Linked DNA regions of Struthio camelus. The protein of the gene in region 3 purifies or fractionates together with the protein of the main gene of each other region. This does not show direct contact. Links are inferred from orthologs where the notes say so. Each region holds a gene or a part of one and is shown on either strand. Other genes may lie near its edges. The genes, in order: CENPC, USP10, PTEN and OTUD3.

What was found.
Region 1: the proteins of PTEN (region 3) and CENPC purify together in Homo sapiens (affinity purification with western blotting; 3 studies listed by BioGRID, with this or other methods). This does not show direct contact. The link is inferred for Struthio camelus from reciprocal best matches to the Homo sapiens genes PTEN and CENPC.
Region 2: the proteins of PTEN (region 3) and USP10 purify together in Homo sapiens (affinity purification with western blotting; 4 studies listed by BioGRID, with this or other methods). This does not show direct contact. The link is inferred for Struthio camelus from reciprocal best matches to the Homo sapiens genes PTEN and USP10.
Region 4: the proteins of PTEN (region 3) and OTUD3 purify together in Homo sapiens (affinity purification with western blotting; 3 studies listed by BioGRID and IntAct, with this or other methods). This does not show direct contact. The link is inferred for Struthio camelus from reciprocal best matches to the Homo sapiens genes PTEN and OTUD3.

What each region holds. Positions count from the first base shown.
Region 1 is NC_090945.1:5,207,775-5,215,678, forward strand, and holds the start of CENPC (centromere protein C), read right to left. Parts: upstream 3,010-7,904; 5' UTR 2,699-3,009; coding exon 2,684-2,698; intron 1,163-2,683; coding exon 1,116-1,162; intron 1-1,115. Other genes in the region: STAP1 (signal-transducing adaptor protein 1), read left to right, coding at 4,718-4,909. UniProt on the Homo sapiens protein: Component of the CENPA-NAC (nucleosome-associated) complex, a complex that plays a central role in assembly of kinetochore proteins, mitotic progression and chromosome segregation.
Region 2 is NC_090951.1:4,542,752-4,550,245, forward strand, and holds the start of USP10 (ubiquitin carboxyl-terminal hydrolase 10), read right to left. Parts: upstream 3,004-7,494; 5' UTR 2,811-3,003; coding exon 2,790-2,810; intron 1-2,789. UniProt on the Homo sapiens protein: Hydrolase that can remove conjugated ubiquitin from target proteins such as p53/TP53, RPS2/us5, RPS3/us3, RPS10/eS10, BECN1, SNX3 and CFTR.
Region 3 is NC_090948.1:43,320,917-43,328,896, reverse strand, and holds the start of PTEN (phosphatidylinositol 3,4,5-trisphosphate 3-phosphatase and dual-specificity protein phosphatase PTEN), read right to left. Parts: upstream 3,002-7,980; 5' UTR 2,922-3,001; coding exon 2,843-2,921; intron 1-2,842. UniProt on the Homo sapiens protein: Dual-specificity protein phosphatase, dephosphorylating tyrosine-, serine- and threonine-phosphorylated proteins.
Region 4 is NC_090962.1:12,812,434-12,819,897, forward strand, and holds the start of OTUD3 (OTU domain-containing protein 3), read right to left. Parts: upstream 3,003-7,464; coding exon 2,839-3,002; intron 2,090-2,838; coding exon 1,941-2,089; intron 1,199-1,940; coding exon 1,086-1,198; intron 1-1,085.

The DNA.
Region 1 (7,904 bases), on a different chromosome or scaffold from region 3:
CAAACCAGCTCAAATGGTTAGGTTGCTATTTCTTATCTCCTCTAAGGGAACTGAAAATGGCAGAAGAGATCCACTAGCTAAAACACTTTGATGAAAATAACAACAAAAAAGCTACAGAACACTTCTTCCACGTGATTATTATATGTCTTCTAAAACAGATAATTTTGTAGATTTTTTTCTTAGCAAACTCATGAAACGCATGTCTAGAAACGGATGCCAGTAACACAAAGCTCACTAACTTCTGAAATTCCTTTAGGAAAGACTACAGCACAACAAATACTCAAGCTACTCTTCAGTACTCAACATACTCAACATACAATACTCAAGCTAATTTACCAGAAAGGGCCAAACAACACAAGTTCGAACTCTGCAGGTGCTTCATTTCTCTACAACCTCAGAGGAAAAACGTTTGCAAGGACTACTGTTTCAGTACTCAACTAGCCTAGCTAGAGGTAGCCTCAGTATCTCTGCACCATAGTCTGCCACTTTAATAGAGGAATGCAAAGGAAAAGCAGTCAATGAAAAAGGAAAGAGCCTGGGAAGGATAGAAAGTAAAAAATATATATATACACACACATACATAAGTACATTGAATTTATATTAAATATATACACATACACACATCTATGTATTTTTTTAATGTAAATTACTTAAATTGTGTAAATAAAGGACTCTATCCTGTGGACAACCTATCACTAGATGTCATACTGGCTATTGAGGTGGACAATATTCTCTGTTGCAGAATTGCTGCCATCTGTTCTCCGCTCTTTGCGGCAAATGAAACAGTAGTAACACCTTTGCACCCACGAGGTCTAGGAGGAATGCATGCACTGAGGTAAGAGAGCATCAGAAGCATATTAAACACTAATTTTTCCAACCATTGATCAAAAGGACATACAAAGTGCTAAACTCCAAGCTTCAGTAAGACACTGTATTCTCTCCCTGAGCACAATTTGCTTTGCACTGCTAAGAAATACAAGTTGGGAACCGCTACATAACCAATGTTAAAAGATACGCTCCTGTAATTTTGACATTAAGTTCACAGAAATAAATCAGGGTAACTTTTCCAAACTATACTGTCTAAAACTGGAATTTTAAGTATAAATGTAAATTACCCTCCTCCATGGCAGAATCTTGTTCTGTAGTCTTTTTTGAAAAGGTTCTGTTAAGAAAGAAGAATCAGTTTTTAACAAGCACGTTGCCAACAAATCTTGATGATTCTTGATTCATCATAAACTAGTAGCAGTTACTGCAGCCCTATTATTCTGAGAACCCTGCAGTTCTGACAGATGTGCTCAGCACCCCTTTAACAACTGCCAGGGATTCAACTTTCCTTAAGAAGCATCAAGCATGTGTTGCATTGAAATTAATTGCAAGACTTACATGACAAAAATATTACAGAATCTAAGGGATTAGTTAAATTTTCTATTGCCATTATAGAAATACTCATCTTAACAACAAAAAGGAATCAACGACCACAAAGCACGCTAGGTCGTAACCTTACAGCCCATCTAACTGATCTGTGGAAACTGCTCACATAGAGATTCTTACCCTGTATTTTTCACAGGCAAGACCACGACAGGCAGTTACAGCATAATAGCCATTCCATGATAAAATTACCACCTTGCTGAACTCAACTTTAATTGACAGTTATGACTTCTTCCAATCTGCTGCTGGAATAAGTGCATGTGCAGTATGAAGATCATTCAGTCCTAATGCAATAGAATTCAGCATGCTCTTCCTAATAATTTTGCCATACTGAAACCATTTCATACTTTTCCGAATAGAAAGTGATGGCTTCACCTAGGATTTCTTTCACATATTTCTGCAGATACTACCTCTGCTAATAAAAATGACCAAAAATCTCATTTTATTCCAAAAAAAGAATTTCATTCCACTGCAGATTTTCAACCTTAAAACGGTAGGATTAAATCCCATATCACTCAGTGAATTGAATGGCTTATAACACAAAATGTCATCACTTCACAACAAGTACGGAAACTGTACTCTACAGTGAGCCAGTCGCTTAGGCTTGAAGCTCTTCAAGCAAGCAACCTTTCACGTAAAAAATGAAACATTCCTGTGTCGGAGCTAAAAGGGCTTTTAAGTTTATTGGTGATTATGTTAATACTCCACTGCACATAAAGAGCCTTTAAAATTTTACCCACCGCATATATATATCTGATGGTGGTCTGCAGGAGGAAGATGGGTACCTCTCTAATATAGCTAGGCAAGAATTATTGATTCTTTGCATGCTACCCCCTAAAAGGAAGGTTTTCAGAAACAAGCAGTAGGAGCAGTTACAGGCAGCCTAAAGAAAACAGGGCTCTCAGAAGACAAGCTCTCAGCACAGAACTGCTTGTGCCAGCACCTGGGGCCGAGCCAGTTGGTGCGGTGCCCGTCAGGGAGGGCAGAGCACTAACACCGGCCGCGGTCTCCCCAGGAGCGAGGCCCAAAGCAGCCCCAGGGACCCAAGGGTTGAGCCGAGACTGCACGGCCGGAAAGCACCGCAGAGGGCTCGGGCAGGCCTCGGGCCGGCCCAGGAAGCCCGCGCCGGGAGCCGCCCGGCTGTCAGGAGTGCAGTGAGGAGAGAGGGGCAGGGGAAGGGGAGGGTAACAGCCGCTCGCGGGGCTCGCGCCGCACAACCGCCCCTTCCCGCGCCCCCGGGCTCGCGCTCTCTCACCAAGGCCTCCGCCATCCCGGGCCGCCGCTGCCACGACAAAGACGAGGACTCCCGGCCCTACGGCGCGGGGGTCGGCCAAGCCGTCACCCCGCGCCCGCCTCTCTCTCCCCCTCCCTCCCCTCCGGCCGTTCGCCCACCCGCTCGCCTCACGACTTTCGCCTCACGACCCGTTCGCCCCTCACGACTTTCAAACCTCGGGGGCTTTCCCACTGCGCGCCCGCGCGCGCGCGCGCAGAGCAGCGGCAGCGCCCCCTTCCCCCCGCCCCATTGGTCAGCGGGGGGCCGCGCGCCGGAGAGGGCGGTATCTTTGCGCGCGCGCCATACCCGCCTCCTCCAGCCGTTGCCGCGCGTGCGCAGAAGGTTGCGCCGCAGGCTTCCCCCCGCCTCAGGGGTAATGGGGTCTTTCTCTCGCGCGGCCGTTGCCTTTATTCCCCTCTTTCCCCCTTGAGCCATTACTAATTGCGCTGTCTTTAAAGCGCAGAATGTAGCAAGGTTACTCGGAGGATCTGCTCAATCTGTCATGATACTCATTCTCGAATATTCATCCCCATCCCTCCCTAGGCAAGGTCTCCTGGCGGGTCACTGCATTATTTTTTTCCTTCCTGTATAAATTTCAGCAAAGTTCAAATACTCAGGTTTCTAATAAACGCTGCAAAACACCTACAATCACCACGAGATTTTGACTTTTTTTTAAGCGTTATTGAACTCAGCCGGGAGCTACTGCTGAAAGAACCGTTTGAGGAGATACGCTGCTACAAAAGCCAGCCCAAAACATATCTTAAAAAGACACATTTTTAGAGCGCACCGCACAGGACCGAGTTCATCAGCTCCAGCCTGCATAGTCATTTTCTGTCTTGCCATGCAACAGTGCAGGTACCTGTCTTCATAAGCTCTTCTGCAACATTCAATGGTGAAGTCAGAGTCTGCCATTTAAATTAAATTAAAAAAGAACGCACATCAACTTCTGCAATCTGAAATGTAAACAAAAGCTGAGACTATGGATCTGTCCACAGCAGTATTTAGAGATGACATGGAGATGACATGGAGAATTCACTTTCGCCTATACAATTGTACCTCTCTTTTCTGCTAGGGCTGGCTAGCAGCTATATGATCCATCACAGATCGCCTTACAGGTCAATTATGTACTCATCTTACAGGTGCATGCTGCTGAAAAACAAAAAAAAGAGCAGGAAGATGTTCAACAACAAATGATCCACAGAAATTTTTCACATTCACTTTATCTCTCACACCAAAAAGCACCAAAATACCAAGTCCTGTCATTGCTATTCTTTCTGAACGCTTTAGGAAACGCCAGAAATGAAGCAAAACATAACGGTTCTGTGAAGTCAATGGAAATTTCACCCCTCATTTCAGAAGGACCAACATTTCACTCTTGAACTACAATTTCCCTTCACAATTTTTTATTTGGCTTTGGTATATTAGCTCTTTCTATCCTGCATGCACACTAGAAATTTGGCTGTCAGTAATAAACAGTGGTAGGTAGGCTTATTTCTGATATTACTGTTGGGGTTCTGTAATCCTACTAGATGTCCCATTTCCTAAAGAAATTTCAATTAAAACAGTCATAATCTGGTAGTCGTAATGTTAAAACACATATTCACACAGAAAACTTTCAATAGTACTGTGGAAGCAGCTAAGAGTACAAACAGTCTCCCTAGCTGGTAGATAGCCCATGTAACCCTTGTTGGACCCAAGTCCAATACTTTTAAGTTATAGTAAGGAGGCTTTTCTGCCATTATCTCTGAGTGAAACCAGCTGTAGTAGTGATGCAGTTTTGTACCAGAAGGTTCATCATTTGGCTCTTCCTCTTTGAGCAAACCAAGGAACGAGCTCATAGATGTTTTGCTAGAAAAGATCCTTTGAATCCATTCAGCCTGGTTCCTCCTGTGATTATATGTTGAGTAAAGAGTCTGTGGCATGTACTGACCTAAAAGTAAGTACAGAGACTTCCTCTTTAAACTGTTGGGTTTTTTCCCCTCTCACCGAGGTGAGTTTCTTCTCCAGCTGAGGCTGATGCAAGGCAGGCAAGAGCAGGAAAGAGGGAAAAAAACATCTGATATCCAGAGGTCCCTGGGAAGCATTATGGAAGAGCCTGAGAAAATTCCTAAACCGGCTCCCCGGAGAATCTTCCACGAGAGACAGAGGGTCACCGGTCTGCCTTTGTACTTTGAAAGTTATCTGTCAATCCGGCATTCAAGATGCCAGGTAAGGTGCCCAGTCCCAGTAAGTAGATATGTTTAAACACTTTTGCAAAAATCTGCCAGTGTGAGCTGCAGACTTGGGGGGAGAAACACTTCTCAGTGCTGCCCAATGCATGTAGTTGCACCGAAATAAAGCTATTTTGCTTAATTTGCACTTTCCATTATTTCTGCTCATGCCTCTTGAAAAAGAAGTAAACCAAAGTATGTAATGTAACCGTCAATATCTCCAGGGTTCCATTATAGTTTACTGTTACCTACTGAAAAGCAGACTAAAAGTGACTGGTTTCATAGTTAACACCATGGTGAAAGTCAATGCAATATTTTTAATAACAAGAGCAAAGTTTGACATTGTAACGTTGTTCTGATGCATCCCATATTTACTGGACAATAGTATCCATCCTGAGATCTCCAGCGACACACCACTTGAAGCGTACATGAGGCATTCTATACCTATTTTTGTTGTTGTTGTTAAAGGCTGATCATTCAATATGTGTGGACTAACTGAGAAAAATAGTACCTTGATTTTTTTGACACACAATAACCATTTAAGACCCAAGTTTGTAAGTGCCTTCATACTGTTCTGTGTGCTATCGTAGCATATATTTTCAGAGCATGTCCTTAATCAAGCTGATTGCCTTTATTAGCACTTGACAACGGTGATCCTTTGTACTTAGGGTTACAAAATAGTCTTTGCCTTAACCCTACCTACACTCTCATCTCTGTAGATACAGAAGCACAGACAGAGTAGAGAAAATATGAGTTACAGAGGCTAAAGATGGATATAGTCAAAAGACGAAAATAGCACAGTGGTTCACAAGAACAAACAGGTACCACAGAAAACAGGAACTCCAAGAAGCAAAAAGCAGACTATTAGCCTTGCTGTTAAATTGTTTGCAGCTCTCAAAATTCTTCTAAGCATTGCTTTGCTGTGTCTAGCATGAGAATACCTGTATGTTTAATAAAGCTCTCTCACACATTCCTTTATTTATATACTTCTACATTAAAACTTTTTTCCTGAAGAATCCTCCTTCGGAAATGTAATCATCACCATAATACAATAATAAACAATAGCAGGCCAGAGCAATAACACACAGCCAGTCTAAAAAGGCTTATGTGATGCTGAAGAGGTATACTAACCACCTGAACTACAGACCAGACACCAGGAAAAAAGAACTCATTAATACATATTTCTTAACTGGATCTGACTCCTAAAAAGTACCATGTTACTATGAGCCACTTCAAATCATATGGCACCTTTCTGAAAAAAGAAAGGACTCTCTGTGTGCATTACTTTTACAAATACTACTCTATTTTAAGTATCTAAAGATGTCTTTAAGCAGTGGCCAGCTTCAGTTTCACGTAGTGCTGCGTTACAAGTACTACTTCCTCCTGTGCTAATAGTTCTGCCACCTCCTCCTCGTGACGCAGGTAGACTGCATACAGGGCCTAAGGAACACTTATGGCTGTGAAACACCAACAAATATTCCTGGGCTAATACTACTGCATTTCCATAGAGCACAATGCCCAATTTATAAGGTGTGATTCAAAAATTTCCCACGACATCCAGCACCCTGCCTCTCTCAGCCAAGCACTACGCCACAGCAAGCCTTCACAGGCTTCATTAACTTGCTAGGGACAGATGTTTTAAGGAGGACATTTATGTTCATAGCACACTGCAGCGCTCAGAGCTTGGGGTCCAGGGGCTGAATGCTATAGAGGACATTACACAAGTGATTTCACAGAAGCCACCAGAAAAACTAGTTAGGAGTTAGCAGTGCAGGGAGCAAGGACCACCTGCAAGATACTTTAGGAAAAATATTTTGTTCAGTCTAATTCATATAACCTTGGAGACTTGAAGACTTATTTCTTTTCTCCATTTCTGTGAAAACCTCCAACTTCGTGTCAAAAAAAAAAAAAAAACCCAAACAAACCCCAAAACAAAATAGGTAAGTAAAACGAAGACTAAAACAGAACATGTATTTTACAGGTTTGCATTCCCGATTCACAGTCCTGTAACAAATACACTTCTCAGGGGCACAAGAACAACAGAAAAACCTTTCCCGTCATTCAGGGCAAGATAGTATTAAGGAACATTTGTAACAGTCAGACAGTCGTATTTACCATGACATTTGGTTGATTACGTGCGGTTGATTTACAAACACTATCACATGTAATTTACAGACAAAGTACATGAAATATATCACTTCAAGTACAAGAAGTCCAAACAATAGGTTAGACTACTGTCAAGTTCCGTGAGAAAGGCATTAACGTGGTCTTATCCCTAAAGCACATAAACTAGCATGATCAAAATTAAATACAAGTAAGCAGTTCAAGGGAACAGTGTTCAGAAGACTGGCATCTTTAAACATGTTCCTGTTGCACGATTTTCCACTTTCTAGAGAATGATGTGCTGAGAACAACGAGGAAAGAGTTTGCTTTTTGTTTACTAGCTATCTTAAGCAGGATCGGGATCTTGCTTTTTCTGCTTTTCAACTTAAAAATTAAGCGAATGTCCAGCTCACTTTTGTATTTGTCCAAAGTATGGAGTGTCATTTTTATGCCTTTTAGGGACAGTGAGAGTTTTAAATGGTACTTAAAATATATTTTTCTTTCATTACTTATTAATTTTAAATTGACAAATGTTAAAAATCTTCACTGTTGGTTAACTGGTAACCAGAGGAGAATGTGTTTTTAAGTGCTACTCAAAAAGAATTTTTATTAGCAGGCACTAAAGCCAAGTAAAGGGGCATAGTTTACCTGCCGTCTAGATCAACGTTATAGTGATCTAGATCAACAAACGACAGAAAAGTTTTCCCATTCCAGGCCAGATTAGGACATTAGAAAGCAAAGCCTTGAGCCTGTATATCTTTGTAGCCATCAACAAATTATTTAATGAGCTTTTTTTTCTTACATTGCTTGCAAAACAAATACATCTTCACTCTTTAATGCTCTTTAAAGCACTGATATAAAAGCAAATGATGGTAAGAGTTTTTATCGGT
Region 2 (7,494 bases), on a different chromosome or scaffold from region 3:
CCTTTCTTCTGTTTAACTTGTTTTCAGAAGATTTACAAATGAAGTGTTTGCAGTAATTCATTCCATTAAAAAGGATAAGAAAGTGACTGAAACAACTGTTCATAAGGTTCCTACAGAGCACTACTATTTCCAAACAGGGAAATATTCGTTAAATCTTCCTTTTTTTTTAAAGAAGGATTTTTAAATGTCCTCTTCGAAAAATGGTTTTAATTATATTCAGTGTCAAATCAGCTCAATATCTGTATTGTCATACAGAACCAGCAGTGATACAACAGGTTTACTTTCAGCTTGTCTTAATAAAAATGATCTTACAGATTTTAAATATCCTCAGAACACACCCAGAAGACTGAGAGCAACACTTAAGAATCTGATTAAATGATTATGAAATACCTGCATGGAATACAGAGGTACAAATGACCAGCATATCTAAACTGTATTAAAATATGCTGGTGTGCCTTCTGAATAGCTGCCATCTAAAATGAATCCTCCTTTCAAAATATCCAATATGGTCATGTTTCACGATTCACTTGTGAAGAGTACGCAGGCTGATTTATAGAATACTTCTGCATACCACTACATGAATCCGTTAATTGGCAGAAGCCTGATGGCACATTTTATAATATTTAGAAGAGCAGGATGTTCTAGAAGACATTTCTCCCCCATGTGACAAAGTTTGCCATAACTGAGACATTTTAAATACTTTTGCCTAGGACTCCACATTATGACATGAACACAATGACTAAGTAATGTTATTTAGCTTTGTGCTTAGAATGTATGACTTTTATCAAAATTCTCTCTCAAACTTTTCTACCAATCTTCAATACTGTCATCTTAAAATTAAAAGGAAACACCTACATGCAAAACTACCTCCCTAAACTCATCTTCATGTCCTCCATCCAAAAAAGTACACAATACTGTTACCTTACTCCAGCATTACTGCACCGTGTTGCTCTAGAATATGTGCTCACATAAATATGAAGCAGCATTTACATCAACTGTTTATAATACATTAGAAAAAAAAAGCACAAGGGGTTGTGTTTAATGACATGAAGACTGCATTAGCTGAAAAATACCATACAGATTCGTTTCCTCAATTATACATAAATTTAAGCAGCAACCCTCCAGACTTAAATATCTGCTTTACTTACAGAGTAGTTTGATCTACACTACAGTACTGACAGCAAGTAACTACAAAGGACCAGACCCAAAGATTTTCACTTGACAAAAAATCAGAACTAGAGGAAGAAAAAAGATGAATCTATAGTCTATTTTTAATTATGACTGCAGTGTTTCAACATTAAGTTGCTGTACTTTTTATTAAGTTCAGACACAAAAATGCCCTTTATTGTTCTAAATCAATAAAAAAAGTTGTAATGAAAAACCTACAGTCTTATCAAACTGACTACGTGCACTGCTGTCTAGTATTTTGCTGTCTAGTATTCAAGAGGAGGATAACGCAGAGTGAAACAGCTTCTAAGTTGGACACTGAATCTCCTCCACACTCCTTTTGATATACGCTGCATTCTAATTACCATTCATTAGGTAAGTCAATCAATGTACTAGAACCAGAGTGAGATTCCTCCACTTTGAAAGAAAAGTTTAAGAACACAAAGTTTTATCATCACAGCCGTGCACACTAAAGTTTAAAAAACTCCAAAAACTGTAACTGTCCTCAAGACACATATATCAAAATACAAGAGCTCTTAAAAAAAATCCTTGATAATAAATACCATGATAGTTTTTACCAACTTTAAACTTTGCTGTAAAGAAAAAACACAGTCAGTACCACTAGTGTACAGTTTTAACACAGATGGGTACCTTAGTCAGCCTTCAGGAAAAAAAAAAAAAAACAGAGGATAATATAGCATAATGTTAGAAAAACTTAAAAAATTTATGAAAGACTTTTTCCAAAAAAGTAGTATACTGTTCTTTAGTAAAATTATACTTAACATGCTTTAAGTTTTCTGAACTCCCTTACTCGCAGAAAGGAAAGTTTTACAAAGTTTTGCAAATGCACACCCCAGTACAGCACTTATAATTGCCAGAAATTTTTGCTTTAAAGTCTTTCTTGGGGGGAGGAGGGGGAACACCCTTACAAAAAGAAAACAGCAAACTTGATCCATTCAACCATTTGCTTTATGCATAAACTAGATTAGACCCAAGACTCGAGCTTTCAGCTTCCAGTAAAAAGCTACCTGGGCTGCAGATTTTGTTATTCCATGCATAATCCTTCTGGTCGGTTTGGTCAGTGGGAGAGGGGGGAATTGCACGCCCATCCCCACGCATAACGACCTCGCAGCGCTCAGTCCTTTGCACCCCAATGCATCGAGGTTCAGGGGGCGGGAGGGAGAAGTGGTGAGGGGGAGGATTAACTTACTAATCCCCTTATTTCTTTCCCGTTGTAGACTCTCCCCCATCGCTCCCTCTCCCCTACCCCCCAAAAGCCCGACCTACTGAGTAGCTCCCAACCCCCCCCCCCCTTGCAACGGCGCGGATGGGGGAACAGCACCGCCTGCATCCCGCACAGGGCACCAGCGCCTCCTCCGCGCCTTCGCCGCCCCGCGGCGGCTCAGCGGAGCGCCCAGGCCAGGCCCCCCCGGCCGGGCCCCGCGGCCGCCGCGCCCCCCACCCCGGCGGGATTCAATGAGGCTGCAGAATCACCCGGGGCCTAGTCCCGGCCACCACGCTCCCCTCCTCCGACGAGCCGCGCCGCGGAGCCCGGCCGCCCCTCCGAGCCGGATAGGACCCCCCGCGGCTCCCCGGCCCGGCAGCGCGGCGACGGCGCCTACCTGGGCGCTATTTACAGCCATGGCGCCCCGCCTCAGTGGGGAGCTCGGCGTCTCCCAGGCGCCTCACGCTGCTGCCCCCGCCGCCGCCATCTTCTCTCTCGCACGCACCAGCCGGGCGGGCAGGCGGCAAGCACTGCGCCTGCGCACAGCGCCGCCGGGGAGGGGAGGGGAGGGGCGGCGCGCCTTTGCGCCTGCGCGTCGGCCGGGCGGTAGGGGCGGGAGGCGGCGGTGCCAGCGGCGCGCAGGCGCAGTAGCGGCCGAGCCGGGGGCGGGGCGGCCCGAGGAAGGGGCCCGGCGGCGGGGGGTGGCGGGAGCTGCGGGTGGGGCCGCTCTCCGCCGGGGGCGGGAAAAGGGGGTTGGGGGGGGGGGGGGAGAAACCAGGCAGCTCGGGGGGTCCCGGCGGCGCGAAGGAGGGCGAGGCAGCCAAAAAAACTTCACCTCCGGCCCCAGGCATCCCTCGGGGTCGGCCACGAGGCGAGCGGCCATCGCCCGCCAGCGGCGCGCGGGGCTGCCTCAGAGCGGTGCGGGCCCGGGCGCCGTGAGGCGGCGCCGCCCCCGCCGAGCGCAGCGGGGCGGCTTCGCCCGGGGAAGGGAGGGGGGATGCGGCCGGCCCTCCGGGTGGGCCCTGTGCGGAGGGGCACAGGGCTTTTCGGGTTTTTAGGGACACGCAGGCTTCGGCTGGGTTTCAGCTCGTGCTTCCTCGAGGCGGCGGGCCGCGCGTTGCGGAGTTGGAAAGCCTCAGACGCCAGCAGGCCTTGGCCCCGAGTAACGAGAGCGATAAGGGATTAGGCATTTGTATTTGGAAAACAAACAAGCAAACAACAAAGAAAAAAGTGACTAAGCCAATATTATGCTTTTGAGAGGACTGAGTCACAACTGCCTGCTTGTAAGCTCCCATCCCCGGGCAAGAAGCCATTAAACTAATCGCTAATTTACTCCGCCTTTTTTTCCCCCTCTTAAAAAACTACTAGATCCCACAAAAGACCGCTTCAGCTGCGGAGCAAGTGGTATAAAAAGCTTAACTTTACTATGAAAGTTGAAGAGAAGAAATAACGTGCTCCCCAGGAACTCTGTGATTGTGGCTTCTGAGAGAGAAGGTTCACTGAAGATGGAAAGCAGACTTCACCTGCCTTATTTTTTGATAAAGACATTTCCCTCTTATAAGTGCAACGCTTAATGTGTGCTCATGACAGTAATGGGAAGAAACTACAGTAGATGATTTTCTGTATCTGTTTCTGTCATTTCAGTTGACACACCCTGCTCCGCTCCCTTTCTTTTTGTTCTAGCAAGCGTTGTTGCTCTTCTGTCCTAAGGCAGAGAACCAGCAGTGAAAATAGCTGTTTAGTATTTAAAGGGGGTGGGGGGAAAGAAAGAGGGAGACATGCATGGGGATTTTACGTGAAGCACTTCCTACATCTGAAACCCCCTCTGCCCACAGGAGTCTAATTTACAAGGTAAATAATGGAGTAAAAACCCTTACAGAGCTCGTCTGGCTGAAGGCAAAATTCCCTTCTGCCCACAATCCTGCTTAAGTAAACTGACTGTGTTTGCTGGAAAGGTTGCCCCTGCAAATGGCTGAAAATACAAATGAGCAGAGTGCTTTCCACCTGAAAACAGGTTAATTCAAGGACCAATATTGTTCAAAGCTGGAGCAGACTGGCCAGAATTAGGGTGTGGGCAGAGAGGATGCAACTGTTGAGCAAAATTAATAACACCTTCAATTTTATCCTGCCTTAATACAGTTTCATTGTAATGTCTGTTAAATTTTTACCACAATATCTTGTAATACTGTAAGTTATGTAAGTTTGATCATAATAGAATCCTTTGAAGGAACTTTTACCTGCCGGAAAGTTTCCTCCTCAGTTCTATCTTACCATTCATTTTTGCCATTTCTGGTGGTGTGTCATTGTATTACTCGTCACTGCATTGCTCAAATCAGCTTTACTTTTTTTCTATCCTTTATGTCAGTGGCCAGGTACTCACAAACAATATGTTGCCTTTCAGACTTTAAAAAATAGTGGTTGTCTATTTTGCTTTCTGTGTATCCACGTTCTTAAGGGAGAGTAAAGGGAGAGTAAAATAATGTTAACTCACAACATGTGACCACTTAAATACTTTGTATTTTGATTAACAGCAGTGGAGGGTCACATCTTTGGGAATCAGAAAGACTTGTTTTACATTAGCCAGCGAGCTGAATAAAATACTCCAAATCAGTTGCCGCCCAATAACAACTACGGTAATTGTTCTTACTCTGCTATAAATGCAAAAAGCTTGGGAATAGCTTATCCTACAATATCATACTCCTCATGACCTTGCTACAGCATAAAACTGACCCAGGGGTTAAGGGTTTGTACATTTGAGGTTCCTGAACTGAAGCAACTGATGGGCCGCTTTGATCTGCTCTTTCAGGGACAGAAACGAGTATTTTCCTGTAGTGCTGCAAGACCTGGTTGATCACTGTGGAAGGTTTATCAATGTCTATGCAGAGCTTCTTCACAGTGCTAGGAGCTTTAGAAGACTTTTATTCTGGTAGTTTCTACGTACAATAAGGGCTTTGCTGTTTCTCCAGTCATTTTGGTAATGGAATTCAACTGGGAGGAAAAAGCCCAGTCAACGCTATACTGTGCGTTGGGGGCACCCAGACACAAAAAGCTAAGGTGGCTGCTGCGCGTTTAGAGAACATTCAGAAAGAGATTATTTATTTAAAGCAGCAGGAGACTAAGGGAGCATAGTGATACTCTATGCCCACAGTAGCACCAAAATAGTGTTAGGAAGGAAGCTCTTTTCATTTCCCTCATAAAATACTTATCAGAAGCAGTCATCTCCCCTGCTTGGACCTCAGACAGGAGCTTCTGATGGCGGTTCAGTTGGCTTCTTGTATTTCAAGTTCTTAACCAGCCTACTCTTAAGTCGATATCAACAGAGATGTCATTGGCAGAATCTGTAAAACACAGCCGTGACAGTCCCTCTCCAACGTGTCCACAGAGACCCTATGAACTTTGCCAGAGGTAAATCTAGCTACCTTACAGTGGCCACAGGCATACAAAAGGAATTATATGAAGTACCTGGGACAGAAAGGACAGAACTTGCTGCTGATGGAGGTCCTTCCTACTGCTAATGGCTATAATAAAAAATTTGGACAACCCAGATGAAGCTCTTTTCCTTTCTTTGTAGAGCTTGCGTAGGTCTTTGTTGTCAAACCTCTTTTTCAGATAGATGTCTGTGCTTAGATGTTCTGAATAGCATTCTGCTGGATATTCAGTCCTGAGGCTTTCCCAATAAATCTTAATCCAAAACCTCGTACTTCAGAGGTTTACCTGATTACTGAAACATGCTTGCTGAGTAGTCATAAATTTGTGAACTTTCTGTGACCTGAAATTGCACAGGTTAGCAACAGGCATCCCTGTGTTTAGAAAGAGAAGCCGAGATAGCACCAGGGCAAGAAAAGCTATACAAGGAGAAGCAATCAGCAAAGTAGTACAGGACACCAATAGGAGGTGTTTTATTCTGGAAAGCACTCGAGCAAACTGGGCTCCAAACTCCTCCTTCTTAAACTTTCTGATAATTTGTAACAAATATACTTAATCTGTTGATGCAAGGAACTTAAACGTGAAATAGTTCAAGTGAGCCTGAAAGAAATTTCAAGTCTAGACAAGCCCTTAGTAGATCGTGTGGCTGCTTGACTCAATATATTCTGTTTCAGTTATCTATGCAGACCTTTTGGCTGAATTATTTGTATCTCATCCTTCCCTGTCTTAAGTATGAGCCTTCTCTCTTCTCATGCAATGCAGTCTATTTTAGAGCTGCAGTTTCAAAAGAACCTTTATCTCACCTCTAAATTCTTTCCATTCACCATTTTGTTACTCATCGCTGAAACCGTCATGATAAAAACACAACTACATTTTTGTTCCCAAAGCTGTAGTGAGTCCCAGCAAGAGCCCATGCAATGCTGTAACATGGATTTGGTATCAACAAACCCACGCCTGGGCTGTGTGTCTGTCATCCATCTGATAGTGCATCAGCAGGGAGAAGGAACCTGCGTAGCTGGGACTTTGCCTTGTGCATGCTCTACCTTGCACAGGATGGCAACAGTGCATCTCCAACTGGACGGGGGATGCACCTGCCTTATGTGGTCTGAAAGACAGCTCAAAAACAGAGCTTGTAAAGGTTTAATTAGCTTTTCACTCATTAAAACCATAGGAACAGAATAATTTGGAATGGTCAGAAGGTCATTCTTAATTTCAGTTTCCACTCCATCTTCTTTCCTGCTAAAACTGCTCACATAAAGGGTTTTTATCAAAAGGACTAAGTGCAGCCACGTTTAACAGGTTAAAAGAAAAAGAAGTCAGCAATCCTGAGGTCCGTTTCTATCTTTGTGACTATCAGCCGTGTAAAAACTACGTCCCGTTTTCCACTTGTCGTCTGATGTAAGGATGACACTATCTACTTGCTGAAGTGTTCTAAGTCTATAAATTCTGCTGGATGAAGAGAGCTGAACTATTACAAGAAACTGAAATAAAATGATAAAAAAAAAAAAAAAAGCAAAGCTTTCCATTTGTTACGCTTCCCTTTTTTCGATAGAAACTTCTGACTGGTCAGAGGTTCCTTAAGACATATCAGCAACCTAAGAATCACAACTAGAATCTCGACTTTTTTCTGCAAGTTAAACTGCTTCTCAGAAAAGGTACTAAAAGTTAAAATCTTT
Region 3 (7,980 bases):
CCCCCTGCGATTCCAAGACATGAACCGGCCCTCAAGGATAGGTGCAGGAAAAGACGGACCGCACAGCCCAATTCAAAGTTTGGTGATCAGATACCTCACCTGGATTCCCGTCCTTACTCTAGCAGATTCACAGTAAGATTTGACTCTCCATCTCCCACAGTCTAGGAAACCGTCAGTTACTAAGTATTTTGGAACCTCCACTAACACTGATCTACTCTGTATAAAAATATTTACTGGAAGAAGAAATTCATACTTCAGTTTCCCACATCCCAGCTAAAAGGCCAAATCACTGGGCTATATAGTCCTGTAAGACTTTCTCCTTTAGCTTGGAAAGCCAGGGAAGGCCAGCTAACCAACAGCAGAAACCTAGATGCAAGCTTGACTCGCTCTCCAGCACACAGCGAGAAACTGATTGGAGAATTTAAATCCCAATTCTGCTATCATACACCACATACCTTCCCAAAGAGCTCATTTAGGTTTCAATTTTTTTTCATTTGGGTTACAATTTTTTCCTCTTTCTTCATCTAACATTGCATGGTTGGAAAGCTCAGCTCCAAGCTCAGTCCTCTGTCTACTCAAGTAAGAAGGCTATTTTCCAAGAATGAGGTAGCAACGATTCCCTCAAAACCTCGTGAAGAGAACAGCTCCATGAAGCCTGCACAAAATGATAGAATATTAAAATCTCACTCTTGCAGCAAGGTTGGCCTTCCAGTATAGCCATTATATCAGGCATGCAGTGTCTTCATTCACTAATTATCTGTTCAAAATGTGCAACTATGAATTAAAACAGCACCTAATGTGAGCATAAGCTTCTTCCAGAGGTGTTTCCACAATCATTAAAATACATTTTTTCCCCATAAATTTCATTACAGAATTGCAGTCAGCTACTGCTTTTAGGAAAATCAGCCTAAGTCCAGTTTTCAGTGACCTACTTCTAAGGCAATATTTTAAGAATAAAATTAATGAGACAAAAGTTGTCTAAAAAAACCCAATAAACTCCATTTGGCATATCATTAAAAGCCTTGAATAAGAAAATCCAGGATCAACTAAAATTCAGCAGTTTTTTTGCCAAGAAGCACATAATAAATACAAGCAGATAAGTAGTTAAAAAGATGTGAAGATCTGTCTGTGTCAAAAATCCCTCCTGACCAACTGCATATTTGGGCAAAGACATCTGAAACAGTTCTACAACTGAAAAGCCAAAAACCCATCATTTTGTCACCATTTAACACTTCTCTTAAGCCAGAAGTTCCCAGCAAGCACATTACTCGGAAAAATCAAAAAGTCTAACTCAGACTTCTGTCTTTAAGTCAATAATAAGCTAAGCGCTGCGCTGGCCTATGTCACTGTTACAACTGTCCAAATTGTAGGCCAAAGAAGTGACCGACTGAGAACATATGAAATGCAGGCCTAAAATTCTATTTTATCAATACCACAACCAGAGCACAAGAACTACACAGAGCTCCTACTTTTAGTTAAGCTCAGCAGTCACCTGCTAACGTCAAAAGCTTTCAAGCTGCTTTAAAGCCACCAAAATTTTAGGCCAAATCTCAGAGTAACAGCAGGAGCTCTACACCAGTTACAGCAGTTTGCTTCCATCCTGCCCAAGAATTTGGCTGTATATGTAGCATTTGCTGTGACATAAATATATTTGCCCTGAAAAACAGCAAAGCCTACTCTGACCCTGTTGCAGAGCAGAAAGCAGTCTCAGTCCGTAGAAGATCCTAAGTCCAGATCTGAATACTACTGTCATTTTTCATCTTTCCTAACACAGTTTTAGCTTTTATGCGAGACGGTATCAGGCTCTTCTCTCACTTAATAACCTTTCAAACACAATAACGATGAACTTCTCCACGAAGAAAAGGTACACCCACAGTACTAGCCCTACATACTATTACCTCTGCAAGGCATTCAAAGCTAAACATCTGTCTGCGGTAGCTAGAGCACATCTGTTCAGGAGGCCACCAAAACTGCTCAGTTCTTTACGGTTTGACTCATTAGTTCTAATTGCATACTAATTACATACTCCAGAACTGCTCCTCGCTACCCTCTTCAACAAGCCCTGATGTATTCTCATTGGTAATACATGCAGTATCTCAGATTAGGCCAAAGTAGGGCTTACAGAGCACTTTAGCTATCTAGAGAAGCATTTTTTTCATTTAGAAGAACACCGAGGAGCGCTGCTGCCCGTAACTGAGCAGCTGGCCATACCTGACTGCAGCAGAGCACTAGCTATACCTCCCCGCTTAACGCAAGAAAATCAGCGCAGAGGACACAGGCCACGCGAACCTAAGCAGCCCCAGGAAAGCGGCAGGCCACGCCGCAATCGTGTTTGCGATTCAAGGCGAGTTCCTAAATCGAAAAGCGCTCTGCACGCGAGTCACGGCAGGACAGGCGTCATTTGCCGAGCTGAAAACCAGCGCAGCCAGAGATAAGAGGCGGCAGCCCCGCGTTACTTCGGACACGGCCGGGGACCCGCTGGGCCCGGGGGAGGCACAAACCACCCAAATCAGGAGCGGTGCCAGCACCGGGCACGCAAGCGCGCCGCAACTGCGAGCGAGCCCTCCCGGTAATCTTCGCCATCACCATTAGCCACGGGCAGCTCCCGTTGATCCGCACGGCCCCTCGCCTCCCCGACAAAAGGAGGCCGGAGGGCGGCGGGGCGGGGGGCCCCCCCGGCTCTGCTCCGCTCTCTCTCCCTCCCGGCGGAGCGGCACCGGGAAGCGCATTAGGTAACCGCCGCGCAGGGTCTGATGCAATAGCTGTACGTGCACCACCGGTTTTCGGGTTTCATCTCCCGCCGGGCGCGGGGCCGCGGCCCGGGGAGGCCGAGCAGGGATACAGGTCAGGTCCAAGTCGAAGCCATCCTCCTGGTAGCGCCTTTTGTTCCTGCTGACGATCTCTTTGATGATGGCGGTCATGTCTAGGAGCCGGGGGCCGCTCCGGGACAGCGCGCAGAGGCCGGCAGGAGGCGGCGGCGGCGGCGGGGCGCGGGGCCGGCGGCTGCCGGGCGGCCCCGGGCGCGGGGCCTGCTGCTCCGGCGGCTCAGCCCGAGGCCCCGCGGCGGGCGGCGGGGGCGCAGGCGGGCCCGCCTCCCCCCGCGGCGGCGGCGGCTCCCGGCGGCGGCGGCTGCCCCCTCCTCCTCCTCCTCGTCCTGCCGCCGCTGCGCCGAGCGGGGCGAGAGCGGCGGCGGCGGCCGAGCAGGGAGGGCTGAGAGCCGGGCCGAGTCCCTGAGGGTGCTGCCGCCGCCGCCGCCGCCGTCTTTGAGGCGAGCGCGGCGGAGGCGGAGAGAGCAGCTCTCCGGCGCTCCGGGCCCCAGCAATGGTGACAGCGGCGCGGGGCGCCCCCCCGGCCCGGCCCCGCTCCGCCCCGCTCCCCGCCCGGGGCGGCGGCGGCGGACCCGGGGCCGCGCGGTGGGGCCGCGCAGCCGGGCGGGAGGGCGGGCGAGCGCTCCCCGGCAGGCGGCGGCGGGGCGGGCGGGCGGCGGTGGCGGCGGGCGGCGCGACTCAGGGCGTGCGGGGCTCCGGCCCGGCCTGGCTCATCTCCCCCGGCCTCGTCCGCGCCCAGCAGCGCCGCGCCAGCGCTAGACTCCCATCATGGCTGCAACTTCCGAGAGGGGAGAAAGCGCTGGCCCCGCCCCCTCCGCCGCCGCCTCCGCCGGCGCGAGAAAGTAGTCCCGCCACATCACCGCCGCCGCCCGCCCCGCCCCCCCCCTCCCCGCTCCGCCGCCGCGCCCCGCCGCCGCCGCCGCCCGCCCGCCCGCTCCCCGCCCCCCCACCCCACCACCACCACCGCAGCCCTGCGGGGGCGAGGCCGCGGCCCGGCGGAGGGATACGGGCGGCTCACATCGCCGAGCGGCGGGGGAGGGGGGGCGCGCTGGGAAGGGGGGGAGGTCACGTGGGCGCCGAGCGGCGGGGCTGCGGGAGGTCACGTGGGCGCGGCGCCGCGCTCGCGGCGGCCCCCCCCCCCCCCGCTCCGCGGGCGGAAGTGGCCGGGCCGCGGAGGTGAGCGAGCGGCGCGGCGCCGCCTCCGGCCCGGGCGGGGGGCGGGGGGGGCAGCGCCGCGGCCTGGCTCCCCTAGCCGGGACAAACGGGCTTTGGGCCGCTGCCGTGGCGGCGGGGACGAGCCTCGAGGCCCCGCTGCCCCTCGAGGAGCGGGGGCGGCGGTGCGGGGAGGGGGGGGGCGTGACCGCCGGCGGGGAAAGGAGGTGGGAGACGGCGGCCGCGGGTGACTGGGGCGCGCGGGGGCGGCCGCCGTGGGGTGGGGGGGGCCGCCGTGGGGTGGGGGGGGTACGCGGACAGCCGAAAAGACTCGTTTTCTCCTCTGGCTGTGGCCGGTGCTCGTGTAATTTATTGCCACGTTAAAGACGCTGGGAGCTTGCTCGGGAGCTGCCGTCCTCCACCCGCGGCAGTAGTGTGTGGGCACCTGCTGCCCCCTGCAGCCACCGAGGTCCCAGGGGAGAGGTTTTTGGCCGAGCGGTCTTGGCCACCTGGGGTAGGTACTTCACGCAGGGCTCTGGCATCTGAGCGAGCAGGTGGGAACAGAAAGTGCCCTTCTGGGCCACAGCAGTGTTACTTCTCCAATAGCGGGAACGCCCTTTTGGAAGAGGGTGCAAGCTGGGGTGCTTTCTGTGCTCTGCGTGTGCGGTTGTTGAATTCGGTCTGCCAGAGGGGACGTCTCTGCTTATTTCCCTTAGCATCCGTTGGTGGCCGTGTTCTGTGCGAGTTTGTCTTATCCCTTTTTGATGCTGTTGATCCTGTCTGCCTCCCCCAGCTCCAGTGGCAGCAAGGTCCAGAAGCTCGCTCCCTGCTGCATAAAGAAGTACTTTTTTATCCGTTTTAAACTGATCTCCTATTAGTTTCATTGCAAGGCCTTTTGTTCTAGTACTGCAGAATATGGTGAGTGAGCCGAGTAATACGTGCAGCTTATCCACCACCTTGATGATCAGGTAAACCTCACTTGTAAAGGCCCCCCAGCCCCACGCCCTGGCTGATCAAAATTGATTATCCTGACAGGTGACAAGTGCTGTCTCTAAATCTCCAAACCAGCCTTCACTGGAATGGGACCATTCCTTTTACAGCAACTTTTACAGATAAACACCATCACATCATAAGTGTCTTCACGCTCCGGTCTGAAAACTGCTTTATTAAGGTAGCGAGCATTGCTCATGTTAATGATTTGCAGAACAGTGACTATCAAGCTGCCCATCCCAAGCTGGACTTCTGAGTATGAAAGCTGGCTGGAGTCTCAGTTAACTATCAGTTTTTCCATCGGAGTTGATATGACTATGGCTTTTTCTTTTGTGCAGACAAGTGAAATGTTAGCCTGTTGGGGTAATACAAAACAACATACTTTAAGGCAACTTAGAATGCATGACTTTACATGAAGCGTCAGGAACGGAAACTGCTGGAGATGGGCATTTGCCACAAATATTGAGGGAACAGAGGAGACCCTGACAGATAATACCTTAGAAGAAACAGGGTTACTTGGTAGAAGTAAATTTGCTTCTCTCAAAAACATTGTCTTCACAACGTTCTTTTGGTGAACGGTAGGTAACTTGAGGGATATTCCATGCACATCAAAGACAATATACCTTTGAAGAAAGCCTGTTTAAAAGGAAGGAGAAAACAGCTGTTAGCTTTATAAAGGAGTGATGGACATCTCCAGAAATCCACAAGGAATAAAAAGAAAAGGGAAGAGAAAACGCTTCCGCTGTAACTAGAAAAGAGACATTTTGGAAAGAACTGGCCTCATGGGAAGAAGAGAACCTGTGCATTCCTTCCTCTTCTCTCTTTGAAAAACGGATGATATAAACCAGACAGAAATCTCCCTAAAGAACAGATCCTGGTTCTTAGTTCATAGACATCAGTTAAATGTTTCTGAGGCTGGCCGCAAAAGATACCTTGCCTGAGAAAGGCAAGGTATCACAGTGAAGACAGCACTCCCAGGAACACCAGCAGGAAACTTTTACATGGTTCACTTAGTAATTGCATTACCTAACGAAGGGTTATCAAATACATTTGAGCAGGAAACTTACGAGTAAAATCATAACGCCTCTCTTGCATAGTGGTTAGATACTGTGGAAAATTTATTGGTAAGCAACATAGTCAACTAGGAAAGATGGGATAAAACATTCTCTCTCTCTGTATAAAAAGATAATAAATAGAAATTTTTATACATATGTAAGACAATACTTTCTGAAACTGTTTCCGTTCTGAGGAACAGCAAACAGGAATTCATGTTTCAGATACTCCAAAGGATATGATAAATCTGTTGTCTTGTTCAGTCTTTAAATGACTTTTAAGAGAGGTGCTGAAGTCTAGCTGCAGATGGTTGGAACAGGTAGAGGAATTGAAGCATGAAGTTTTATGTTGTGCTTTTAACAGAGTCAAAATAAATTGGAATGTAGGGTGGAAGGATCTCCTGGGTCGCTGCAGCCTCCAGCCTTTGCAAATGCTATATAATATAATTCCTTTCACAAATGTATCAAGTTTCCTCTTAAGATCTTTTGTTACCATAATTCCCACTGAGAAGCTGTTCCCAGAATGTTCTTCTGATTTTCATGCTAAATATATTTGTGACTGGTTTATATCCATTTGTTCCGGTGCCAGCGTTGGCCTTAAATAGCTCTTACTCCATCATATTTACCCTTTGTGCGTTTACAGATAGAAATGTTGTCCCTCTTAGCCTTCGTCTGACTAGGCTCAGCTAGCTCAGCTCTCCTAACTGTCCGTTCTCCCTCATCTCAGTAGTGGCTTTCTGCTCCAGTTTCAGTTTTACTCATTTCTCTTCAATATACATGACCAGAATGGCATGCAGTGTTCTAGATGGTATCTTGCCAGATCCAAGGACAATGGTATTAATCCCTTCCAAACTCTGCTAGAAACATTGCTCCTAAGACATCTTAGGGCCCTATTTTCCTATTCACACTGGCAGCTCATATTTATTTTGGGATCAACTAGTGTGTACGGTCAGATCATACTGTTCTTTTGCAACCTACAAACGTATGAAGGGAACCCATGAAAAGATTTCACGGCAGCGCCTACTTTTAGACCCCGGACTCAGAGGTTACCCATAGGCAAATATACTTGTGCTTAGCAAATGAAGACCATCTTTTAAAACATTTCCAAAGGTCCTGCAAGTGTAAAGTGTGTCCCTCTAACATCCAGCCACGCTTCCTTGTCTCTAGGAAGTTGATATGGCTTAGCTGAAACTCTTTTGGCTAGCTTCCTGAGTCCAAGTCAGAACAAGACCAAAAAGCAATCTGAGCAGAAAATAGCCTATCAATGGCCATTGTGTCAGCAAGTCGTGAGATAGGTCTTCATCAAGCTATGTGGTAACCATCTTTATCATGACAACCGCTGCTGAAATCCCATTATCCAAGCTGCATGACTATGCCAGGAATTAGTAGGAAGGGGAGAGAAAATAATTATGTCAGTGTTTAAATTCATGCTATGCGTCCATCCTAAACTCTCTCTCGCTCTCTTGGTCAGGTTCCGTTTTAAAAAGTATAGAACAGATCTGAAGAAGATTCGATGAAGGGAAGCATGGATGACCAAAGCTACAGAACGGCTGTTCGGTGAGGAACCGTGAAGTTTGGAACTTTTCATCCTGGCAGAGTTAGCTAGAGATCTAGAAAATCCCAAGTTACTGAAGAGGTTGGACAAAGACTGATTTCTTTGACGTTTCTTCCATACATATAAAATGTAGGGACACCAGATGAAATTCGCTGGCAACAGTTTCAAAACAGCCAAGAGAGGTAGTAGTTAGTGACGTGACCTGAAGTTAAACTGTGGGACTCTGCTACAAAATGTCATGGATGCTAAAAGTTTACATGGGTTCAAGGGGAGACTAGACAGGGTCATGGAAGAATTGGCTATAAAATACAGTACAACCTCTGGCTCAGAGTCTTTGATCTGCGAGTTCATGAAGCCTGGAAGAGTTTTTGGGGGAAAAACCATTACATGCTTGTAATGACAG
Region 4 (7,464 bases), on a different chromosome or scaffold from region 3:
TCTGGTTCAAAACAGTAACAAAACATGAACAGCACCTCCGTAAACTCCGGCAGGGTCTTTTCATCTCTACTTACTCTCACAAGTCAAGCAGTTGACTACTCCTACCCATTTGCATGGTGACTGCCAAGTAAACTTTTTTTTAAAACATGCAGGTTAGCTGTCTTACTTCCAATGACTGTCTATATATAAAGTCTAAACTTCTGGTTCAGGAATCCATCTGACACTATTTCAAATGCATTTAAGACGTTATCGACAGCTTTCACCTTTTCTTTTCTTCATCTCGCTGTTTAATCTATATACCTCACCGGTATTATCTCTAAACTGGGGTCCGCCCTTAAATCCATTATTACCATCACTAAAAAATGTCAAGAAATAATCTTGGCTTGAATGTAGGGTCTCAGTTGTTCAATAAATAGCCAGATTGAGTGTGGATCCATCCTAGGGTGGGTTCACTACAGGAAAACAACAACAACAACAGAGGAAGGACATGATGGATCACTTGTTCCAGTCCCCTACTGTAAGAGGAAACTGTATCACAGTCTACTTTCATAAACTGATTAAACACCACCTTAAGACTTTACAACTTCTCCCTTCTTTTTTGCCCATTCTAGAACCTCATTTCTCTGACTGTTAGAAACCATTTCATTGTCATTCCAAATCTGATGCAGAACTGATGGCGTTTCATTCCAACACACTGCAGGGGCTGCCCTGCTATACCTTCACTTCCGTATTCCTGAAACTTGTTAACAAAGTTTCCTTAAGCCTGGCTCAAATTTCTGTGAACTCGCATGTAGTCTGATCCTCAGGAGAGAGGAACATTGCAGAAGCCAGGAGCTTAACACCAGAGTTCTGTCTCCATATACTTATGCTTCATGGATTCATTGTTTTATTTTGTTTTGTTTCCTCGCCTCCTAGCTGAAGTCTTGAGGACTTTCTTTCCAGGCTGGAAAAAGCAAGCACAGCTCAACACCATGCCAAACTACGGCTACCGATCAGTGTTTTTGTCATCTTTTTATAGATCACAAAGTTTCAAAACTACCCTCCAGCTAAAAATCAGACCAAAATATAAAAGTCTTACTTCTTACCTGCCACAGTGGAGCATTAAGCTGATGAATAACCACGTTCATTTGATTGTTCCTTGCAAATGCCACAATAGCATCATTGCCTGCAAAGGTACCAGGCTTTGCCAAATTGGTAACTAAAGAAAAAAAAAATCTGTGAGAACTGGAAACTTAAGCTTTTGACGCTTTCAAAAGCATTGGAGGGATACTGAGTAACAATTTCAACACTAGTCCAAGAAATTCTGGAAAGAAATCCCCAACTGCAAAAGAGTGACTTTTGAAGCGAGAATTTGGCAGTGACTGCAGTTAATGAGCCTTAAATGACCACAGAAAGCTCTAAAAAACCTAGTACATCCTTAGATTATGCAAGGTCATCAGCTCTGTGTTAGCTTTGAATAAAGAGTGCCATGAATTAAGTGACCAAAACGCTTTTATGCATCACCTGCACGTTACCTGGCACATCCTCAAAGCTGTTAGAACGAAGGCTGTATTAGTCTCTGCTTTGGATCTTTCCCTAGGTTAACACTGCACAAAATACGGATCGTCAAGGAGACAAAGAAACCCATGGAAATCAGCCACTCAACACCCACCAGCATTCAAGGGGAGCTAGACACTTAGATTCTAAGTTCCTTTTGAAAATAGCATATTTGTACTCCTTGCTTTTTTCTTTCCTATGCCAGGTTTCTCCTAAATTTTAAAAAGATCCAAAGCAAATGTAACAGCTCATTTTTCTAAAGAAAGAAAACAAAGAGAAACTACTGTGTCTAAAAACTGGAGAGCTGCTCTAAAATACTTCTGGGATGAGAAACAGTGTAGTAAGGTACCCAAATGAGATGATGCAGAATATCCCCTTCCGTTATTGCCTTACGGAGACCATACCATGTTTCTCAAAGGGAACATCATCCTCCACAAAAGGCTCAAAATCCTCCCGCTGCTTTATCATGTAATCCACTGTCTCCTGGCGATGTTTAAGGTGGTTCCGTGAATGCCCCTCAAGCTGATCACCGAGGGCCCGAAACAAACAATTACTACCAAAAGAGAAACTGCAAGTTAGCATGTTTGAAAGGTGGTTAACAGGATACCCCAAACCAACCACCCCGAAGGAGGAGCAGAAAGAACACAGACTGCGCAGCAGAAGCGTCCCCCAGCACAATCCTGCATTGATGTATTGACTCAAGCACCAAACACTGCCAATGAAAAGGGATGCAGCTGCTTCCTCATTAAAGAGTCCAGATTGGAAGCAGTGTCTGGCCAGTGTTAACAGGAGGAGAAATGAGCTACGCTCCTTCTGCCCAGTAATTCAACAAGGATATGGAAGTGAAATACCACTTATTCCCAGGACTTAGAATGGCTGTTGAAGTCAGAATTGGTAATACAACAACAGCATTGTTTTGGGTGACAACAGCATCAGATCCTACACAGCAAGTCAACAGGACTAATAGCACCATGCCAAACTGTCCTAAACTGCAACCAAGACAAATGACAACGCCACAGAGGACAACCCAACGATTCACCAAGCAATTCCTCAGCAACCAGGTTTCTAACTCCCCTTTCTCCCAATGTTTATGGTGCTTCCTATGCCCCAGGCAGACAGGGTGGCCCTCAAGCCTGTGGGAGACAAGCCTGGGGCTAGAAGAGCCCTCGGCCCCGCTGGTGACAGGCCAAGGGAGCCCCCCGGGACAAAGGCCCTGCACTGCCGGGGGTGGAGGGAGCCTGCAGAGGCCTGAGGGGCTTCAGAAGGCAGAGAGCTCGGCGGAGGTGCCGGCCCCGCGCTCACCCGTCACCTGGGACCTCCCGCAGCTTGAGGCCGAGCGCCCGGAGCTGCCCGGCAAGGCCGCCCGGGGCCGGGGCCGGGGCCGGGGCGGCGGCGGGCGGCCGGGGCCGCCGCGCCTTCCTGCCACCGCTGCCGGGCCGCGCTTTGGCCGCCTGCTTGCGGGACATCGCCCCCACGCCCGCCGGGCGCCCACTGCGCCTGCGCCGCCGCGGCCCTCACGTGACCACCGGGCGCCGCCACCGAGAGCGACGCAAGAGACGCCAGAGCGCCGCCACTCTAGCCCTCCCCCCCCCCCCCCCCACCAGCAGTCCTCCAGAGGAGGAGGAGGGCGCCGGGGCAGGAGGGAAGGCAGGGGAGGGAGCTGGGGGAAGCAGGAGGTGTCAGCGATCCAAGCCATGCAGAGTGCAAAGGGAAGGAAGGTGAAACCAGGCAGCCCTTGGGATCAACAGCGGAGCCCAGGAGAAAGCACAGGGCAGCAGGACAAAGCTCCTAATTTCATACCACAATGCTTGGTCTGTGTGAAAGCCAGATTCTCCATGTGCTTTCATCCTTAGTTTCTCCAGCTAACTGCACTTCTCTACCCAGGTGCTCCTCCTGGTCAGTCTAGAAGGGCCTTTGGGGTCATGCCCCAGCACCTCTCCCTGCTGCTCCAGCACCCTTAGTTCCCACTTACTCCAAAAACTTCCCTTGGACAGAGGCTGTGGCCCTTCTTTCATTAACTTCTGCAATTATAAACTAGCACAAACCTCTTAGCCCGGTCCGTGTCTACTTCAGCACCGAATCAGTGATGCAAGAGTAACTGGAAAGGAACAAAGAGGTGAGAACATTCACTACCCACGAGGTGGCACTGCAAGAACACAGCTCACACTGCCATGCCCCAGGCCTGACAACAGGAACACGGGTCAGGGTGACAGCCAAAGCAGTAACAGTTAACGGAAGGCTTGAAAAAGAAAATTCAAAGTTCCAAAGCAGAAGAATATTTAATTTCTATTAGGAAAATGTGTTTAGAGTGGTCACACTCAGCAAGGGCCTGACTCGAGCAGGCTGTGAATTCAGCCTGTAAATAAACATCTTACCTTTTTCCTGGTGGAAAAGTCAGGTTTTGATACATGACACTGTACCTGCATTTCCTATTTCCCTGAGCCCTGGCAAGAAGAAATATGGAAAACTAATCTGAACAGGGGGCGTGGGGGTGGAGAAGGGGGGCACAAATGAGACCTGCTCCCACAGTACACAACTAGGAGCACTCACCGAACAGCACAGTGTTAATACAGGGCTTCCTCCACCTGTTTCACCAGTAAAGCTGGGCCAAAGTACGATGGCCATTTGTGGAAACACCGCCAAACCACACAGCTTGTATCAGCAACACTGCAGAATCTGCTGCTGCAACTGTAGAACATCTATAGCAAGATACAAGCCACAGCATTGGAAAGCCGGGTTATTTGCCAAAAAATGAGACCACTGCCGTAGCAGAAAGCTCAGCCCTAAAAAAGGCAACCACTTATTTAGAATTCAGCGCTTTGGGAAGATAAAATTAGCACTGCCAGTTTACAAACTGAGCTGCAACATACTTTCCTCTACAAGGAGACTGATTTTGTTGCAACTTTGAGCCATAACAACCCCTTCCAGTACTGCTGGACCCAAAGGAAGAGGGGGAGACTGTATGCATATCCACATGGAAGTGGATAGAAGTTTAACAGTAAGAAGCATGACAAAGAACAAAAAGCTCCAGTCTGTCATGCGTTACCCAACACAGCATGACTGGGGAGCGTTTGGCTTTCCTGTTGGCCTCGTGCCCTACTCTTCTTCCCCATTCTCAGAAGCAACCAGTCAAATAAGTCATCTACCATTAATACAATCCTGGGCTGCCCCAAATCAACGCAACTATTCTACTATAGACAAATCAGTTACCCCTTTATTCTGTTTTTCTTGCCCTACTTTGTTATGCAGCTATTGTGAAAGGATTTGCCCGGTACTGTCAGAACTGCTGCATTTCAGTTGAATTTGTGTCTAATTAGTTCCTAGCTCTGTTCAGAGGATGCATCCAAGCGGCTCTGTGAGACGGACCCTAAAAGAACATTCACAATTTGAAAAAACACACCCAGGTAGAGTGTGAATCGACTTCCTTGGCATGAACATTACAAATATGCCACAAAAGCACATGGCTGACTATCAAGACAAGACAGGATTGCCATGTGGGATTCCCCTGTGGAAGGTTTCAGGTCCCATTTATCAGGTCAAATTAACATTTGTTGATATCAATTATAAGGCCACTCCTGAGCCTGATACACTGTAGCTGAATTCCCCTGCTGATCACCACCAATAGCAACCTCTCTTTCAACCCCAATATAAAAAATTCCTTGCAACAATAGCAGAGAGATTGTAAATCTAAAGATCTAAAGGTGACTGTCCATTCACGGAAGCTCTCTGCTTCATTCATACTTACACTGACTGACAGGTGATATAGTAAGAGGCTTCACATCAGGACAATTGAAGTCACTTTTTCAAGTTTTGGGAAATGTCGAAGGTTGAGGACAAGTCTAGAAAGTCCCTCTTGTCCAGAGTCACAACATTCTGATACAGATCTTGAGCAGAGGAAGAAGTTCAAGGACTATAAACATTAGCTTCTCTGGTATTAGATTGTGAATATTATTATACTCAAAAGCCTATGACAAGTTGTTATTTTACTCTGAGATTAACCTGAAACGATAAGATTGCTCTTTTGCATCCCTTTCCTGTCATAAACAAATCCCATAGGAAGAAATATTCCGCAGAAACACTTCTTATGCAAATATACCAAAAGCAGGAAACGAGGTTGAACTGCTTGCAAATGATTAATGAAACAGTAATTGGACTAAATAGTAATAAAGGGCTAGAGTCAACTCAGGTGACTAGAACAAGCATACAAGCCACTGAAAGGCACCCATGCAGCCAAGGGCAAGACTCGGTCAAGACAGGTCCTCTGAACACTCAGCTGAAATTTTCATCAATGAAGGACATCGATAGATACTTTTAAATCCAGTAAGATCAATAACAAAACTGGGCAGAGAGATCACCCAATGCCTGAACAGCAGTGCTGAAAACACAGCTCAGGAGTTGCAGAGCTGCCGCTTCCTGAGCCCATACGCTGGACCGGGCTTCCTCCTGCGGGGTCCCCTGTCCACGTGGAAGTGGCAGTAAATTGTACCCTGGGGGATGCATGGCTCTGCAAGGACCTCTGAACCACAACACGCTCCGTTTCCCCTTCCCTCTAGAGTTGTCCAAGCTGTCGACCTTCATCAGTAGCAAAGTAACAACGTTGCTCAGCCAGCTCTGAATTTCCAGTAGATGCGCTGGAAAAACAGGGAAGTCACACCCACCCACTGCTGAAAGACAGGGTAAATGGACATGGAGGCCTCAATTTGTCTAACCTAGCTTTTAACTGAAGCATGGAAGGCTCCTAACGTTTGCGTCACCCGAATGTCCGTGAACCCCTGCTATAGCCTGTGTCAGCAGAAGTACAGCAGGAACACCCAGACACTCATGAAGTCTGCTAACCATAAACCTTCTACTCTTTCTCAAAGAAGAACAAGTTCTCACCTCATTCACCCACCAGTTAGTTAATGAGTTCAGTGTTGTCCTGAACTCCTTTGCCCTTCTAACCGCGTTTGTTTCTGTTCCTTCCTCTGCTCTGCTGTGGGAGAGAGGGGCTGGGACACAGCAGCACAGACAGCTTGAGCACTCAGGTGCACTTGAGGCTAGACTCGGTACTCTGTCTTCTACAAATGATCCCTGAAGGGATTAGTGGCCCCTGCCCTTCTTCCTTACTTCCATGGGATTCCTACCGAGAAACTGTTTATTCTACCCCTCAAAAAAAAAAAAAACCCAAAAATAGAGAGTGAGGGATTTGGTTCAGGAGTCTAAGAAAAGCTGAATATTCACAATATACCACCTAAGCATAGGTGGCATAGGGCATTCTTGTCAGTGCAGCTCTTCCTGTGAACTCAAAAAAAAAAAAAAAAAAAAAAAAAGGGAAGATGCTCTTACTAAGACACCAACTTTGTTTTTATTTCTCAGACCTCCCCTGGACTCTGTGTGACCTTAAGTCACTTACTTTGCCCATGCTTCAGTCCCCACATGAAGCCCTCTGATAACTGAAACCAACAGGGATGTAGGTAATCAGACATTGAACACTCAAAGCTATGCCTCATTCTTTAAACTGTGCTGTAGGGTAACAGCTCTAAGGTAGTAAGCAGGGCCAAAGAAGAGCAGACTTCCTACCCAGAGCACTCACAACTGGTGTGGTACCTAATTCCATGGCACACAATGCTGGAAAAGCAGGAAAGCAAGGAAAGGGAGCGATACACACTGCTCTTCAAATCTACCTGGCATGAAAAATATGCTCTGCCTTTGGTTACGTGCATTCTAAAAACATCATTGTATTCCTAATTTAATTTCCTCTCAGGATCTTTGACAGCATCTGGGAAACAGATATGTTGAAACCTTCTGTCAATCCAACATACCAGGATTCAGCTTTTGTGATACATAGTGTGTGTCGTTACGGTTCTAATGTCAAAAACTGAGAAGCAGAGAACAAGACAACTTGCCAAGGTCATGCAGAAAGCCAGTGCAAGAGAAGTAGAAGAGTTC